2 linked regions of the Caenorhabditis elegans genome follow. The protein of the gene in region 2 interacts with the protein of the main gene of each other region in a pairwise test. Each region holds a gene or a part of one and is shown on either strand. Other genes may lie near its edges.

Region 1 (7,818 bases), on a different chromosome or scaffold from region 2:
GAGAATATACTGATGGATAAGCATATGCTGATGGGTAGTAGGCTGCAGAGTAGGCTGGTACAACCACTTGTTGATGAGATCCCATGATCGTGGCGCAGAGGAGAACGGCGGCAAAGCTGAAAATTACACATTCATAAATTAATAGAAAAGTGAGCACTCACCACTTAGCGAACATACTGAACTGATTGAACTGACTTGAAAGTGTCGATGAATTGTAGAGGAATTGTCTACTTTTATACCAAAATCTAACAAGACAGAAACCCAAAAAAAAACCCTAGAATAACCAGTACTACTCTATTTACATTGTTGGCACATGAAGGCTTAGAGAATAGTAACAATTGCCACTTGGTTCATGCAAATAAAACCAATGATCATTCCGGAAAAAAATGCTCGCAAGAGCAAATAGCGGCTCTTTTTTGATTTTGGAGGCGAGAAAACTTTATTGTAATTCAAAAAAGATCAATCTTCCTCCTTTTCTTCCAAAATTTTCTTGGTGAGCTCTTTGACATACAACTCATTGGACTTGGGCTCCTAAATAAGTTTCTTTTAAAATTCTACGTTTCCCCTGAATCTTACAATCAAAGTAGCATCTCTGATCATTTGTGACTCAATTGACACCGTATCGATGACCGTTTTCGCAGCTTCTTGTTGTTGCTTCTTACGTTGAATATGCGAATTTTGAGACTCAAATTGGATTGAAGAAACATTTTTCATTGTGTCGTCTGGGCTTTGACGTGACTTGAAATAGTTGAAAATAAGATAATGGAAACTCGAAATAATAAAATAACCTCCGATCTTTGAATCTGGCGAATCAGTTGCTCTTCCAGCTCCTTCTGCTTGGCCTGCTCACGAGCTTGCTTTTTAACAAGCTTCAGCTTCTTTCCTGTAACCTGATAATTAGGATCCATCAAAAAATCAAAAAATCTATGTGCTCACCACCATCCGGATCATTTTCAACCAGTTTCACATTGCCAAGATCTTCGTCCGTCACAGTCAAAGTTCTGGTCTTTTTCTCCTTCTCATCCTCACTCGGCTGCGAATTCTTGGTATCTTGCGATGGTTGCTGCTCGTTGGATTCGATAGATGCTGAAGGTTGCGTTACATCTTCCAGCTTCTGAAAAATGGATCACTGTATGCTAGTTACTAAGCCTGCAAATATTTTTGAAAATCGCAGCGATGGGTCCGTCCCTATTTAGAATTACCATTTCCTTCTGATCCACCTCCCTTTTAACAACAGTCTCCACCACAGCCTTTTCGAATTGTGGTTGTTGTTGTTTCTCCCTCTTTTTTCGCATTTTCTCCCGATTTTCTGCAATTTTCATCTTCCGCTCCTTCTCCAGCACGGCAGGATCGGTTTCGTAACGGATTGGTATCACTTTTGGGGGTTTCTTTGGCTCTGGAATCTCCCACGTTTAGTTAGAAACATTAATCCTAACCTGCCCTCTTTCGGTTTCCCTTTCAGACAATTTGAGGTTATAGTCATGAAAAACATGATCGCGCAGATGACGTTGTAGAATAATAATTGATACATTGTGCAACTTTAATTGACCGGTTGGAAAGTTGAAACAAATTGTTGGAAATAATTCATTTTGCATGGAAGATGTTATCGGTTGAAATTGTGGAAGTTCACGTGAAGGAAATTTTTGGAAAAAATGTGGGAAAAATTACAAAATATATTTGATATGATAAAACTTCTGAAAAATGTCTGAAATATTTGGGCAAGAACTTCTGAAAAAAAAAAAAATTTTCGGAAGTTTTTTAAAAACTCCTTTAAAAAACTAGAGTTATCTAGCTGTTTCCAGAAAGGTCTAGCAAATAAAAATTCCTTCTTCTCCAAAAATTAACAATTTCAGGAAAATCTCCAAAATACACAGAACAATTCAGAATCCGCGAGTCGGAGGGAGCACGCGCTCTGTCCAAAACCAAAAAATACACGTTTATTATAAAAAAATCGTGGTACAAAAATATACAGGCAAGATGATGGTGTTTGTAGAGACTAATTTCAAAAAATAAAAAAAATGCTGAAATTATGGAGGGAACAAAAGAAAAGTGAAAGAATTGCGCACTGACTAGACCGACGGGGAGTGAGAATACACTAAAAACTAGTTTTTGAACATTTTTCGTTTTCTACATTTAATAAAATGAGGAGAGCACCAATAAGAAAACACAAAATAGATATTTTGAAAAATAAAGGAAGTGTTTTTTCAATGTTACAGTAGCCTACCAGAATTTAGGTCTCGACACGAAAATAAATTATGCGCCTTTTAAACCGATCAGGCATATTTTTGCATTTTAGCTTGAAGGCGCAAATCATTTTTTCGTGGGGGGGGGGACCCATATACTACAAACAAAAGACTAATTTTCAAGCCGTTGGAATTTCATTTGCCGTTGGCTCAACTGCGCAATCTTCATCGTGCTCTCCGGTTGGACTATGTGCTGATGGACTGCTACAAGAGTCATCATTGTCTACAATATGGTGGGTGTCATCGGTTTCGTCCAGTAGTGACATTATTTGGTGACGGACCTGAAAAAAGTTGGAGTCTGAACTTGTTGAATATATCTGAAAACAATCTCTCACCTTTTTCCGTTTTTTCGGGTCCATTTTCTTAAGCTTCAACCCAATTATCCGGCTGTACAATAAATCCTCATCATTGAGCCATTCAAGAGCAACCCGACCGACCTGGAAAAAAGTTATATTATTCTAGAAATTCTTTCTTAAAATTTCTAATGTAGGAACACGTTATAAATTTTTGAAATTTGCTGAGAAAAAATCCTAATTTTGGTAAGAAAATCCAGAAACTTCGATTTAAAAATCTCTTAAAACTTGAAATAAATATTTAAATTCGAAAAATTTTTTTTAACTAGAAACACTTAAAATGTTTCCGAATATATTTTTTTAATAAAAATTAAATTTTAATAATCTAGAAAGTAATTAAATGTAATTCAGAAAACCAAAAAAAAATTCTGAAAATTATACACTTCAACCTTCAAAAAATCATTCCGAAAAGTTCATTAAAAAATTTTTTAACTTTAACATTTTTTCTTGAAAATCACTAAATTTTCCGAAAAAAGGTAACATTAAAAAAAACAGAACTAAATCCGAAGTTTCCAAGAATTCAGCAAACTATTTTCAATCGCATCTAATATTTTTTACAAAAAATCTAGAATTTTTTTTTAATTTAAGAAAGTTTCAGAGAAATTATTTTAAAAAAATCAAAAATCTCCAAAAAATCCAGGAAAATCACGATCCTTCCGAAAAAAATTTTTTTTACCAAATGTTCCAAACCCGCTCACCTGTTGCAAATGATATCTCATAACATTATCCGCAGTCTGCTGCCTATGCCTATTCCTCGCCGCCTCTTTATAAGGATGGAAGTGGCTCGTAGTGGACGCGGTTGGCGGTGGTGTTGAAGGTCGGAGCGGCGGGATCGCTGCCTCCTCGGATTTCCTGGCTCCATTGAGCATTGAACTCATCCCAGTGAGCTGTGCAGCAAGATGGTGTGCAAATCTAGCCTGATTCGCTGCTATGAGGGACTCCACTGATGGTTTCTGTGGGGTCTGTTGGACCTGCTGGACCTGTTGAGCCTGCTGAGTCTGCTGTTGGCTCTGAGCACTTATAGCCTCCTTGAGCATCGCCATAGCTTCGGATTGACTTTTCACCTTTTCTGGGCCATCTTCCTCTACTTCATCTTCATCTTTTATTTTAAGATCTTCCTCCTCATCTCCATCCCCATCAACTCCATCTAGATTTCCATCGAGACTTTGAGTTCCAGATTCATCATTTTCAATTTCAGGGGATATACTGTCCAATCGTTGGGCGGTTTGTGCAAGTAGTCGGTCTAAAACCGAAGATTCGAGTGCTGGATCACTATCATCATCTTCCATCTCGTCTTTTATTGAATTTAAATTTGGAAAACCGAACCAGCTGAACGGTGTGCCTGATGGCTCATCAAAAGAGTCAGATTTACCAGTTTTTTTGCCTTCATCTGCTGCTTGACCACTGCAAAAAATAGACTTTGAAGATGAGAATTTTAACTTATAATCGCGGAGTTCTAAATTATTATTTTTTACTTTTCAGATTCTTTTTGATATATCTTGAATTAATTTTTTGTAGAAAATTTTAATTTTTTTTCAAAATATTAAATTTCGAATCGATCAGTTTTTTGTCGATAAATTGTTTTTTTTTTAATTTTTATAATTTTTAATTTAAGAAAAAAAAGAATTCTGGAATTTTAATTAAATGTTTTAGTATTTTTGAAGTTTTTTTTTGAATTTGATTTTATCTACAACTTTTGATTTTTTAATGAGATTTTTCAAATTTTTTTTTCTGAATTTTTGAAGTGTTAATTTAGACTCTTTAGATATATTTCAAATTAGGTGAACTTATTTTTTAAATTTCAGTTTTTTGTTTTGATATGCCTACAAACCAAAAATTTCGCGGTTTTTCAACAAAAAAATATTAGAAAAAATATTAAAAAATTAGCTTTGTGATGGCCAGAAAAAAACGAGTTGAAAAATAATTATGAAATTCAATTCTTACATATTATCCTTCAAAAACGGGTCCAACCACGATAATTGATTAAAATAACACCATCTAACAGGTGTCACAAATCCATTTTTAATTGCAATCTTTAATTCTTTCCGATATCGATCCCTCAGCTGCAACCATCGTTTCTTCGCAAACTCTGCCGCACAATTCGGGTCAATATTTTTGGCGATTGATTCCCAAAGTCGTTGACGTTCCATTGTGTCCCCGCTGCCACGTCGTGAATGATTATATAGGCACGGGTACTTACGAACCTCGTTTATCAGACGGGCGTTAAACGCCGGCTGGAAGGCCATCTGTTTGAGTGGATTTAAATTTAGAAGGGGTCTGAAACGGAAAAATTTGAGATTTTTAGAAAAAAAAGGCTAAGGGGAGTCAGAAGCTGGGATAATCTAGAAATGGAAAAAAGGAAATAAGACATAAGAATATATATATATATATACATATATCCGTTTTTTGTTTCAAATGTTGAATTATTTTTGAAAATTATTCTTTTAACTATTTTAATTTGGAGAAATGTAGAAAAAATTGTGTAATTAAAGGGAAATTTTAAAATATTCATATTAAAAAATTGTTAATTTTTGTTTAAAACATTTTCAAAAGATTAATATTTGCAAAACCCAATTTTAAAAAATCTTAAAATTTCTAAAATCAACACAAAAAAATATTTTTTGAATTTTCAGTTAATGTTTTTTAAATCAAAATTTTTCTGAAATATTTCTGATAACAAAATATTGAAAACTGGTACTTTTAAAAAAGAGAATTTCAAAAAAATTTAAATCAAAACATTAATTTTGTCGAATGCCGAATTGTTTTTCAAAATCATTTTCAGATTTAAAAATTTTCTGGAAACTTTAAATTGTGAGATTTTTTAATAATCTAGATTATAACTTTCTGAAATTGCAGAAGGTTACGTTTTAGTACTTTAAAACAAAAATCTTTTTAAAAAAATATTTTAATTTTTTTGTCAGAAATTTAAGTAAATTTTGGCAATCTGCCAAAAAAATCTCTGTAGATCATGCAGAGGAATCTAGACACAAAAAGCCAAAAAGCCTGAGTGTGTACTACGACATGGTTAGTCTTCCAAAATGTAATAAAAAGTTTACACACTCTTTCGTGTCATTTCTCTCTTCTTCAATTCCATCTAAATCTCATGATAAACTACCGTAAGACACAATTGAAATGGTTTAGACTGAAAATCTAGGAGAACCGGTAGTATGTGTGGGTGGAGATGGAGTAGAAGAAGAAGGGGAAGAAGCTCTATGTTTTTTCCGGTGCAGGAAAATTGGAAAATTGGGGGATATTCGGTTTTTTATTTTGCTTTTAGTTGAAGCTTTAAGCGGAATTGGGAATGAAAATTAGAGGGAAATTGGTTGACGAAAGTTGCACAAAGTTGATGAAAATTGGTGATAGTATAGCGAAAGTTAAAATAGACTGAAATTGAACAAAAGTCTGCCAAAGATCTACCACAAGTTTGAGAAAAACGCAACTTCTTGAAAAACACTGGTGAAAATTGATGAAATTTTGGCGAAGGTTGGTCGGAGTTCGTAAAAACCTTGCGGGGATTGCTGAAAGTCTAGAAAAAATTAACAGAAGTTGGCAAACGTTGCTCAAAATGTCGAAGATCTGATAACAGTTGCAGAAAATTGTCGTAGATTCAGAAGAAGTTGTTTCTTGCCGAAAGTCTAGCGACAGTTCGCGAAAGTTGTTTTTAAAAAATATTGAAAGTATAGAAACAATTCAAAAAAGTTGGTCAAAAATTGAGCAGCAGTTTGGAACTATTGCAATTGCTTTTTGAAAGTTGACAAATGTCTAACGAAGGTTGGCGAAAGTTGGCAAAACTTTAGCAAAATCTGATAAAAAGGTATGGATTGTTGTAAAAATAGATAATTCGGGAAAAATGGAAAATGTCATTAAACACAATATCTCAGCAGGGGGTGGCTGGCTGACAATCTCCCCCGGTTAGGCTTCTCCTTCTTTTCTTCCCCCAACACAACCATCTTCATCTCCTTCAAACCGAATCATATCAGATAAGAAGCCGTTGATCCGCCCGAAAAAGGAAGGAAACGAACAAAATCCGGATTGCGGACATCCGAACTGAAGCTGGGGTAGGGGCAAAATAGTGTGGAGCAGCGATAGACGCAGAGGTGGTGGAGACCGGCGGAATGGGATGGCGGGGATCGAAGACGTTTAACACAACATTCGACTATGATAACACATTTTTAGAGTGATTTGATTTGATTTGTTTCTGTTTTTTCAGATTTCGGTTTGGGTATTCCGGATTTTTATGCTTTTAGGAGCAGGTGACCGCGAAAATAAAAATAAAAATCGGCCATGGCGTGACTTCAAAGTTTCAGAAAATTTTTAAAATTTCGGAATTAGAATTTACCTTCAAAATATCAAAGGAATTTCAGATACCTGCTCTTGGACCAAAGAAAAAAAATTAAGTATTTTAAAAAATTATAGAAAATGTGTTTGTGAAACTTTCGTAAACTTTCGTTCTTTTTTTGAGAATAAAAATTGTTTCCTAAATACTCAGAATTTGTTTAATTTTCTAGTTCTTTTCTAAACATAAACTTTTATTTAAAAAATTTCTAAAATTGGAGATTTTGTGAATTAAAAAAAATTATTCAAAAATTACCGATGTTTTGAGAAATGAAATTTCCTGTTATTTCAGTATTTATCAAAAGTGAAACTTTATAAAATTCCGGATAAAAATCCTTTAAAAATCGAAAATTCGATAGAAAGCTTGTAATTTTCTAATAAAAGTTTGAAAATTTCCAAAAAATATAAATACTAATTTTTTCAGAAAAACTGAAAGATTTATTTTTCAGCAAACTCTTTAAAAATTCAGACAAAAATCAGAAATGTTTCCCAAAATTCGAATTAAAATTAAATTAAAAAATTTTCCAAAAAATTCAATGCCTACGTGACTCCCTTGTCAGGAGGGAGGCGTCAAAAAACTCGAATGCAGTAAGTAAAGTTGGGAGAAAAATCGGGAAGGGGGTAACTGTCAAAGTTTGGTGAGCTCTCCTCCCTGTGCCGAGCCAGCTTTTTCGGTTGAAAACGAGCAAGAGAGCAGTAGCAGTATTCCTCTGTGTCTCTCAGAATTCCACACTCTCTAACTTAGTAACCAAGCTCCCCACGAGCTCTTACAGTAAATGGCAAACAATTGAAAAAGAAGGGGGAACGGAAAACCGGCGGTGCCGTTGGGGTTACGCAAACATTTGGTAAATAGTGAAGATTATTGTGGAGAATTTGAGGACATTGAG
Region 2 (8,571 bases):
GTTCGGACAAAGCGGAGCCGGAAACAACTGGGCCAAGGGTCACTACACAGAAGGAGCTGAGCTTGTCGACAATGTGCTTGACGTGATCCGCAAGGAAGCCGAAGGATGCGATTGTCTTCAAGGATTCCAACTCACTCACTCTCTCGGAGGAGGAACCGGATCTGGAATGGGAACACTTCTCATCTCCAAAATCCGCGAAGAGTACCCAGACAGAATCATGAGCTCATTCTCGGTTGTACCATCGCCAAAGGTGTCCGACACAGTTGTAGAACCATACAATGCCACCCTCTCCGTCCACCAGCTTGTTGAGAACACCGATGAGACCTACTGCATTGACAACGAGGCCCTCTACGACATCTGCTACCGTACCCTCAAACTCACCAACCCAACCTACGGTGATTTGAACCATCTTGGTAAGTTATTATTTCTTGTTCAAGTTTAAGTTATGCACAAGTTACCCAAATTGAAACCTAATAATTACAATTTTCAGTATCCCTCACCATGTCCGGAGTTACCACCTGTCTCCGATTCCCAGGACAGCTCAATGCCGATCTCCGCAAGCTTGCCGTCAACATGGTTCCATTCCCACGTCTTCACTTCTTCATGCCAGGATTCGCACCACTTTCCGCCAAGGGAACCCAGGCTTACCGTGCCCTTACCGTCGCCGAGCTCACCCAACAAATGTTCGATGCCAAGAACATGATGGCTGCCTGTGACCCAAGACACGGACGTTACCTGACCGTGGCCGCTATGTTCCGTGGACGCATGTCGATGAGAGAGGTTGACGAGCAAATGCTCAACGTTCAGAACAAGAACTCGTCCTACTTCGTCGAATGGATCCCGAACAACGTCAAGACCGCCGTTTGTGACATCCCACCAAGAGGACTCAAGATGGCTGCCACCTTCGTTGGAAACTCGACCGCTATCCAAGAGCTTTTCAAGCGTATCTCAGAGCAGTTCACTGGTAAGAAATTTGAAACTATCATCCAGTATCAGTTTTAAAAACGTTATTTTTTCAGCTATGTTCCGCCGCAAGGCTTTCCTCCATTGGTACACTGGAGAAGGAATGGACGAGATGGAGTTCACCGAAGCCGAGAGCAACATGAACGATCTCATCTCAGAATACCAACAATACCAAGAAGCAACTGCCGAAGACGACGTCGACGGATACGCTGAGGGAGAAGCTGGAGAGACTTACGAATCGGAGCAATAAATGCAAGATCCTTTCAAGCATTCCCTTCTTCTCTATCACTCTTCTTTCTTTTTGTCAAAAAATTCTCTCGCTAATTTATTTGCTTTTTTAATGTTATTATTTTATGACTTTTTATAGTCACTGAAAAGTTTGCATCTGAGTGAAGTGAATGCTATCAAAATGTGATTCTGTCTGATGTACTTTCACAATCTCTCTTCAATTCCATTTTGAAGTGCTTTAAACCCGAAAGGTTGAGAAAAATGCGAGCGCTCAAATATTTGTATTGTGTTCGTTGAGTGACCCAACAAAAAGAGGAAACTTTATTGTGCCGCCAAGAAAAAAGTCTCATTGCCTAAGAGAAACATATGTGGTTGGAAATCTTCCAGATCGTGGATCAATTGAAGAATTGTCATGTTGGCTTATAACGTGCCCAATGAGCCAATCATCTCCTATTCGATCCTCGACAAGAACACATTGACCTTCTCTAATCTTAAAATAATTCAGATTTATAATATAGATCTCAATTAAATAGAGCCACCTCAATCTCGTCAGCATGCTTCGGCTCAAAATCATAAAGAACTCTACAAATTGTCGGTGGACTTGAAGTGGGCTCATCGAAAGTTGTAGTTGTTCGAATAGGACCACCATTTGATGATGTTGTTGTTGTTGAGTAGAAACCGTCGTCGGATATCTGAAGATTGAAAAATGATTACTACTTACATGGGTTTTTCGCGGCAGAAATACGGTACGCGGTCTCGATACGAAAAAGGGTGTTTAATTCGAAGAGGCGTGCGCCTTTAAATAGTACTGTAATTTAAAACTTATTGGTGTGGAATTTTTTATCGATTTTTGATTGAGATTTATTGAAAAACTATGAAAAGAAACAGAATTTATAATTAACAGTAATTTTTAAAGGCGCACGCCTCTTCGAATTTAACAACTGTTTTCGTTTCAAGATTGTATTTTAAGATTGTATAGAAGATTGTATTTTTGGCTTAAAATCGTAAGTTTTTGGTAATATTCGAAGTGAAAATAATTTTAAAATTCGTAATAAAAACTAAATATACCTTTTCATATTCTTCGTACTCTCCACTGCCACGTGGTGACGGATAAGCAGTTGATGCTTCCATTGATAGACAAGGTGGTGGAAGACTGTTATTATCACCGGATAATGGAATTGTGAGAATTGTCATTGGAAGACCCTGTAAAAATGTTTTATTAATATGTTATTCTTCGCCTGGTGCGGAATGGGTTTCGGTACGAAAAAAATTGAAAATTTTGTTTGGCGCCAATAATATGGTACCCGGTCTCGAAACGACACATTTATGTTCAATACAAAAAGCTGTGAACCATTGAAGTGTACTGTAATTAAACTTTTCTTGTTGCCGCATTTTCATCGATTTTTCATAGTTTTTGGAAGAAATAAAAGCTTGAAGCTACAGTACTCTTTAAAGACGCACTCATTCTTGTATTAAACACAAATTTGTCGTTACGAGACCGAGTACCGTTTTTTGTTGAAAAATCACAAAATGTCGTGTCTAAAGACTAGAATTGATAAATTGTTTTATTTTCTAATTTTTTTTCGAAAATCTCATAATTTTATTTGAGTTTTTAAAAATTGTAAAAAGCTTACCGATTTATCTTTAATCTTATGTTGAAACCTGGATAATCTGTGAAAACCTCGATTTTGACCTCCATCCACAATATTTATTGAATCATTCAACTTGTAGTACAGATATTCGATGAATTCCAAAACGCTCTGGAATTATTAGATATTCTGGTTTTTCCTATTGTTTTCAATTAAAAAAATGAAAATAGGCATAAAGTAGGCATGCATTCTTTCCAAAAACCCACAATTTGCTTTGAATTAGACACCATAACGTCAGCTGTCTGATTGTTGTAAAGTCTCTTCAATTCTGAATCCAATACTCCTGAAACTCGTTCAAGATTCTGACGGCGTCGTGTCGAAGACATGACTTCTCCGAAATTTTCAGCCTGAAAACGAAAAAGTAATATAAATTTATTTTTGAACAATTGCAATTTCGAAAAAAATGTTTTGGAAAAATGGCAAATTCAAAAATGTTAGAGTTTTTCAGTTAGAAGGTTATTATCCAGACGCAAAATGTTGCGATTTTTCCGCCAAAATACGGCTACTGGAGAAATTTTTGTTAATAGAGAAAAAGTGTGTGTCTTCAAAGAATACTTGAGTTTCTGTGGAGTTGTATATTATTAGATAGATTTAGATTTTCTGTTTAGATAGATCTTTGATAAACTTAAATATAACAATAAAAACACATAAAGTTTCAACAAATCGTGAGAAAAAACTACAGTACTATTTAAAGGCGCACACCTTTTCGGCCGCCGATTTTTTCTTCTACCACGGTTGCTCCGTGCTCTAGGAAAGTAATTCCCGTAGAAAAGACTTACATGAAGATCAATCAGGGTAATATGATTGACAGCTGAAGTTGATGGTTGAATAGTTTGAATATAATCCTCCGGAACAGAATCTACCGCAAGTTCAAGATTATTCGAATGCCTTTCAAACATCTGAAAATAAAATATTGACTAATTTCAAAATTTCACTTTCCCTAACTTGTCTCAAATTCGGTCCCAACGTCTCAATCTTTCTCTTATACCGTCCCAATGCAGTTTGACAATGAGCTAATCTCTGTCTCTCCACTGATTCCATACTCTCTACACCTTTTCGTAACACATTTTCAGTCATTCTTCTCTGCTTTTCCAGATCAACAGTCTGCCATACATAATCATCTTCACTTCGAATCATCTGATCTTTGTACTTTTTCCGGCGAAGTGCAAACTTCTCCGGTTGAGCTTTTTCTCGTTCAGCCGAGTTTTCAGTCTTTTCAAGCTCTTTCGCCAACACGTACAGACTTCGTTTCATTTTTTGAGTTTCATCTTTCTTATCCTTCAATTTTCGAATTTCTCGCTCTACGAAATTGTCGGCTGCTCGAATAGTTTTTTGCTGATTTGATTGAATTGATCTAAGAGGTTGTATGATATCTTCAGTGATTGCAGATCCTAAGTTACTGTGAATAGTAGCATGAATATCAAATTGTTCTGCCACATTTGTCCAGCCTTTATCGATACCTCTGAAATAAGATATTTTGCAAATTTTTGAATGTATGTATGCCCCTTTAAAATATAGTCTTTTTTTAAAGACACACTATAGTTTCCATCAATTTTTTTGAAAAATTGTTAAATTCTGAATTACCAAATTAAAAAAATCAAATCCTTGACTTTCTCGCCAAAATATTTTGAACAAATTATGCAATTTTGAATTTAGCATCTACTCACGATTCAACGCTTTGTGTCAATTTATGCAACCGAATTGATATCTTTTTCAATGTTTTCGAATAATGAAAATCAAGCGCTGCTTTCTCTTCAAAAGCAGTCACAACTTCGGCAAGTAACTCGTTATTGTTGCGAATCAGGTCTCGTAGTTGCCGGAAATTGCTCGGTGTCTGCAAAGAAATTTTGATGTTGGCAGGTGGCTTGTTTGATTTTCTAAGAGCATTGCATACACAAATAATTGAAACACGGTAAATAATTCATGTGATCTTTCGAGGAAAAAAACTTACAGCAAACTTATCTACTAATGTAGTATTTGACATAGTTGGCAAGTCAACAAGTCCATTAAGACTATTCTGTCGGCTCAATGAGCTGTTCAACTGAAATACACTGCGGGATATACTCCGGCGAAGTTTTGACATTCGGGAGTTCATTTTGATGGCTGGAATGAAAATTATAAACGTTTTCAGGTAATCTAGTTGAGACAAAAGGTAATTCAAGTAGGTATAAAGTAGGTGGCAAATGAGTAGGAATATAGCCAAGTAGGCAGGCGTGTAGGCATAAATCCTTGCCTACCTTACTATTACTTAAAAGTACAACAAAGACAAAATAATTCTTGGTTATAATTTTTCAATTTTCACAAAAAAAAAAGAAAACACCTACGAAGAATTTTGTGTCAAATAAACTGAAACCTTTTCAAAAAGCATGGTTCAATAAACTCTCCGAGCAAAAATATTGAACCGGAAACAACTTTTTTCTCAGGAACTTCTCGAAAACAGCAAGCTTTTTCTTAGATCGAATTTTAGTGCATTACTTTACACAACGTATAGGTTTTCATAGGCCCTTTCACTCTGGGACACCTGCTAGATGTTGTTAGTCACCAGTAAAGAATGAGGGCTTTTTTGCAAAAAAAATTATAGGAAAGCAGAAAAAGCAGAAAAATGTGAACATTAAAATTTATATGATGAGTTCAATTCAAAATCTGTCTTCAAGGCGTCTGATTTGTACATAAGAACTTTCAAATGAAGAAAAAAAAAGGAAATATGCAAGTAGGTAGGCATGAAAAATTACATGCCTACGGAAAGCGATAAAATCATTGACAGGAAAAATTAATTTGAACAGAAGAAAATTGGTCATCGGAGGTCATCACTATCGCAAGTTTAAATCGATTAAGGTCACATTGGAGAGGGATGATGAATTGTTGAAAAATAGAAAAATAGATTGTAAATTTGGAAATAAATTAGAGAAAAATTGTTATTAATGAGGATTGAACATTAGATAGCGGAATTACTGTATATTCCTTATTGCATTCCTTTCTCAACTTTGACAGCACATAATTTAATTGCTTTTTAACTTATCAAAAAAATTTTAACTACAAAAAAATAGAAAAATAGTTAATACGTATTTTTTAGTTAGCAATTATTTGAAAAAACCAATAGAAACTGAGATATGTATACACTGTCAAAATTTCTAAAAGTAAAATCAATAAATGAATATTTTCAAAACCAAAAAATGGGCACGTCGTGGGCAGTTAGAATGAGTCAGCTGGAAAAAATCGGAAATTCAATTCTTATCATTTAGTTCTGCATTTTTTTTTGTGATAAAATTGGAAACAATAAAGTCACAGGTAGGGAGTAGAATTGTGATGGATGCGATATGACATGTTTGTTCACTCGAATAAAAGTAACCAAACATATAATATTTGATATTAAAAATTATTTAAAGTAAATATCCTGCTTGTATATTTGTCATTTTTGAGTTTATCAAAAAATGTTTAACTTTGAAAATATAGGTAAAGATTCAAGCTACAATATATCAGTTGAAAGCATTTTTGGTAAAACCAATGAGAACCGAGGTATGAGATGTTAAAGTTGAATGGAAAAAAAAACAAGTAACATGTCGGCTGCTGGAACTTGACGCAACTTTAATGACACTTTAGGTTTCCTAAAGCCTTCTCTAACCCTCCCTAATATCAAGTTGAATACTGGAAGACTCGAATACCAGTCCAAGTACACACATCTTACATAACAATAGTAGTTACGTTCATGACTAGACACCTTGCATGACAGACGTGCAAAACCAATTTGAATGAACACAAAAAACTATGGGAACTGATTGAATTTCTTTGCGGGAGAAAGTTTGGTAGTACTGTTACTGTTTGTGGAAGTTAGAGATTTTGCGCGTAAAATGTGATGTATCAGCAAGGCATCATACTTGACGCGCAAAACTCAAAATTTTTTTTGGAAACTAGATAACAGGAAGACTGATTCAATTGGAAATCGGAAACCATTTGGATAGGGTGGGCATCTTGGGCGCTGGCTTGATGAATAGTAAGTGTATGGTCGGAGGGGACCCGCCGGTTGTGTCGCAGTAGAGTGCGTTCTTCCAAACATCTCTGCGTCTCCTACACCGATTGACACTATCTCGTCCGGCTGGATAGCGGCTTGAGCGTCGGGGCGGCATTGCCGGGTTGGGGAGAGAGAGAGGCACCCGTGTGAGAGAATAGGGTGACAGAATGCAATAACTGTGTTGTTGTGTTGTTCAGATAATTCGTTGCCTAACGGACAGACGGTTTCAATCGGAAACTGTCATGATTATCTTCTCTGTCAACAACAAGAACTTCTCCATCACGACGGAATCTTACGGTCATTGTCTGTAATAGATTTTATGATGCTAATAATGTTAATGGTAATACAGTCAACTGATGGAATAGATTGAAAAAAGCTGTTTTAGAAAACGAGCGACCTTTGTTTTTTCTTCGAAGAAATAATGACAATCCTGGTATTTTGAACGTAGGCAGGCATAGGCTGTGGATAATTTTGTAAATATTTATTGCAATAGAATTTCTATATTATGCGTTTGCAAAAACCTTTCAAAACCTTGTGAAAAAATGCTGAATAAACCAGAAACAGGTCATATACAAGCTCTAAGAAAAGGACACTTTGGTGCAATATAATATAATTAAATATTTCTATTTTTGATCTTTGTGAAGAGGAGGAGGAGATCAGATGATTATAAGCAAACAAAATTCAAATTAAAAAATCAGGAAAAGAAAGAAAAACGATTAGTGATAATTCGATGGTAGGTCACCAGTGTGAAACTCGTTAAATTTTAAAGTGTTGTGGTGGGAATTCTAGAAGTCCAGAGCTGAAACTTCTGGAAGTTTACATGTGAACTGAAGCACTGTAGCGAACGTGGCTGCTTGGGATGTGCCAACGGGATGGGCGGTACTGAAAAGGAAAAGGGTGATTACTCTGGAACGTACTGAATTGATTTAGATGGGTCTTGTTAAAAAAAGATGTTCTCCTTAAATTGTGAAATTCCTCATAAACGAACACCGACCAATCAGCGCGTCGCTTCGACTACTTCGTAACCAATTATCGATGCCCGACTCCTCCCACTTCTACTGATTGGTGCAGAAGTAGTCTGAGCAACACGCTGATTGGTCAGAATTTTCAATTTCAGTGGAAATTCAAATAGAAAAATTAGTCAGAGTGAAAATGATACTCGACCATTTAGCGCATCGCTCCGAGCACACTCACCCACCTGATTGGTTAATAGTTTCATTTCTGTAGAATTTCAGATTTTGAAAGGAAATTTGCATTTCCAAATTTTTCAGAAAATAGAGAATGTTGAGCTCACCTTGATTAAAATTTGTCCACTAGTCGTATGTGGATTGTAATATGCATATGCCAGCCATGCGACTATACAAACCAGGAATACAACAATCATAGTCAACGTGGCAACTCCTCCCTTCGGCTCTTCTTTCTTCTTATGTCCCTTCCATTCATCACTATCCTCTGAAGTTGTTTTATCGGTTTTTTTCATTTTATCAGCATCCAATGGAAGAACAGTGTGCCCTCCATTTGGCATTAACTGAGATTTTGGATAGTCCTCTTCATCATATGTTTCATCTTCATCATCAGCATCACAATACAGCGCTTTACTTCTTTGATAGCAATTCCCTTCAAACCAGTGCTGACGGCGACGATGAAGGCCGGCTTCATCGGTGCAGAAAGGTCCTCCATGAGATTTCTTGGCATGACACCAGAGGCAGTTGAAGTGGGGGA

Evidence for each region.
Region 1: the proteins of C36E8.4 (region 2) and madf-5 interact in a two-hybrid assay, tested with the Caenorhabditis elegans proteins (one large-scale study listed by BioGRID).

The regions. Positions count from the first base shown.
Region 1 is NC_003280.10:14,570,670-14,578,487, reverse strand, and holds madf-5 (Alcohol dehydrogenase transcription factor myb/sant-like protein), read right to left. Parts: upstream 4,874-7,818; 5' UTR 4,843-4,873; coding exon 4,541-4,842; intron 4,272-4,540; exon of another isoform or gene 4,079-4,271; intron 4,001-4,078; coding exon 3,295-4,000; intron 2,681-3,294; coding exon 2,579-2,680; intron 2,525-2,578; coding exon 2,363-2,524; 3' UTR 1,927-2,362; downstream 1-1,926. Other genes in the region: nspb-7 (Nematode Specific Peptide family, group B), read right to left, coding at 1-116, 162-175; C01G12.13 (uncharacterized protein), read right to left, coding at 460-531, 577-738, 789-883, 937-1,114, 1,203-1,396, 1,441-1,531.
Region 2 is NC_003281.10:4,008,708-4,017,278, reverse strand, and holds C36E8.4 (SH3 domain-containing protein), read right to left. Parts: upstream 4,944-8,571; 5' UTR 4,936-4,943; coding exon 4,792-4,935; intron 4,675-4,791; coding exon 4,508-4,674; intron 4,303-4,507; coding exon 3,786-4,302; intron 3,740-3,785; coding exon 3,620-3,739; intron 3,188-3,619; coding exon 3,047-3,187; intron 2,952-3,046; coding exon 2,826-2,951; intron 2,589-2,825; exon of another isoform or gene 2,568-2,588; intron 2,395-2,567; coding exon 2,260-2,394; intron 1,884-2,259; coding exon 1,731-1,883; intron 1,682-1,730; coding exon 1,538-1,681; 3' UTR 1,505-1,537; downstream 1-1,504. Other genes in the region: tbb-2 (Tubulin beta-2 chain), read left to right, coding at 1-413, 491-964, 1,020-1,213; pxd-1 (PSI domain-containing protein), read right to left, coding at 7,666-7,731, 8,144-8,571.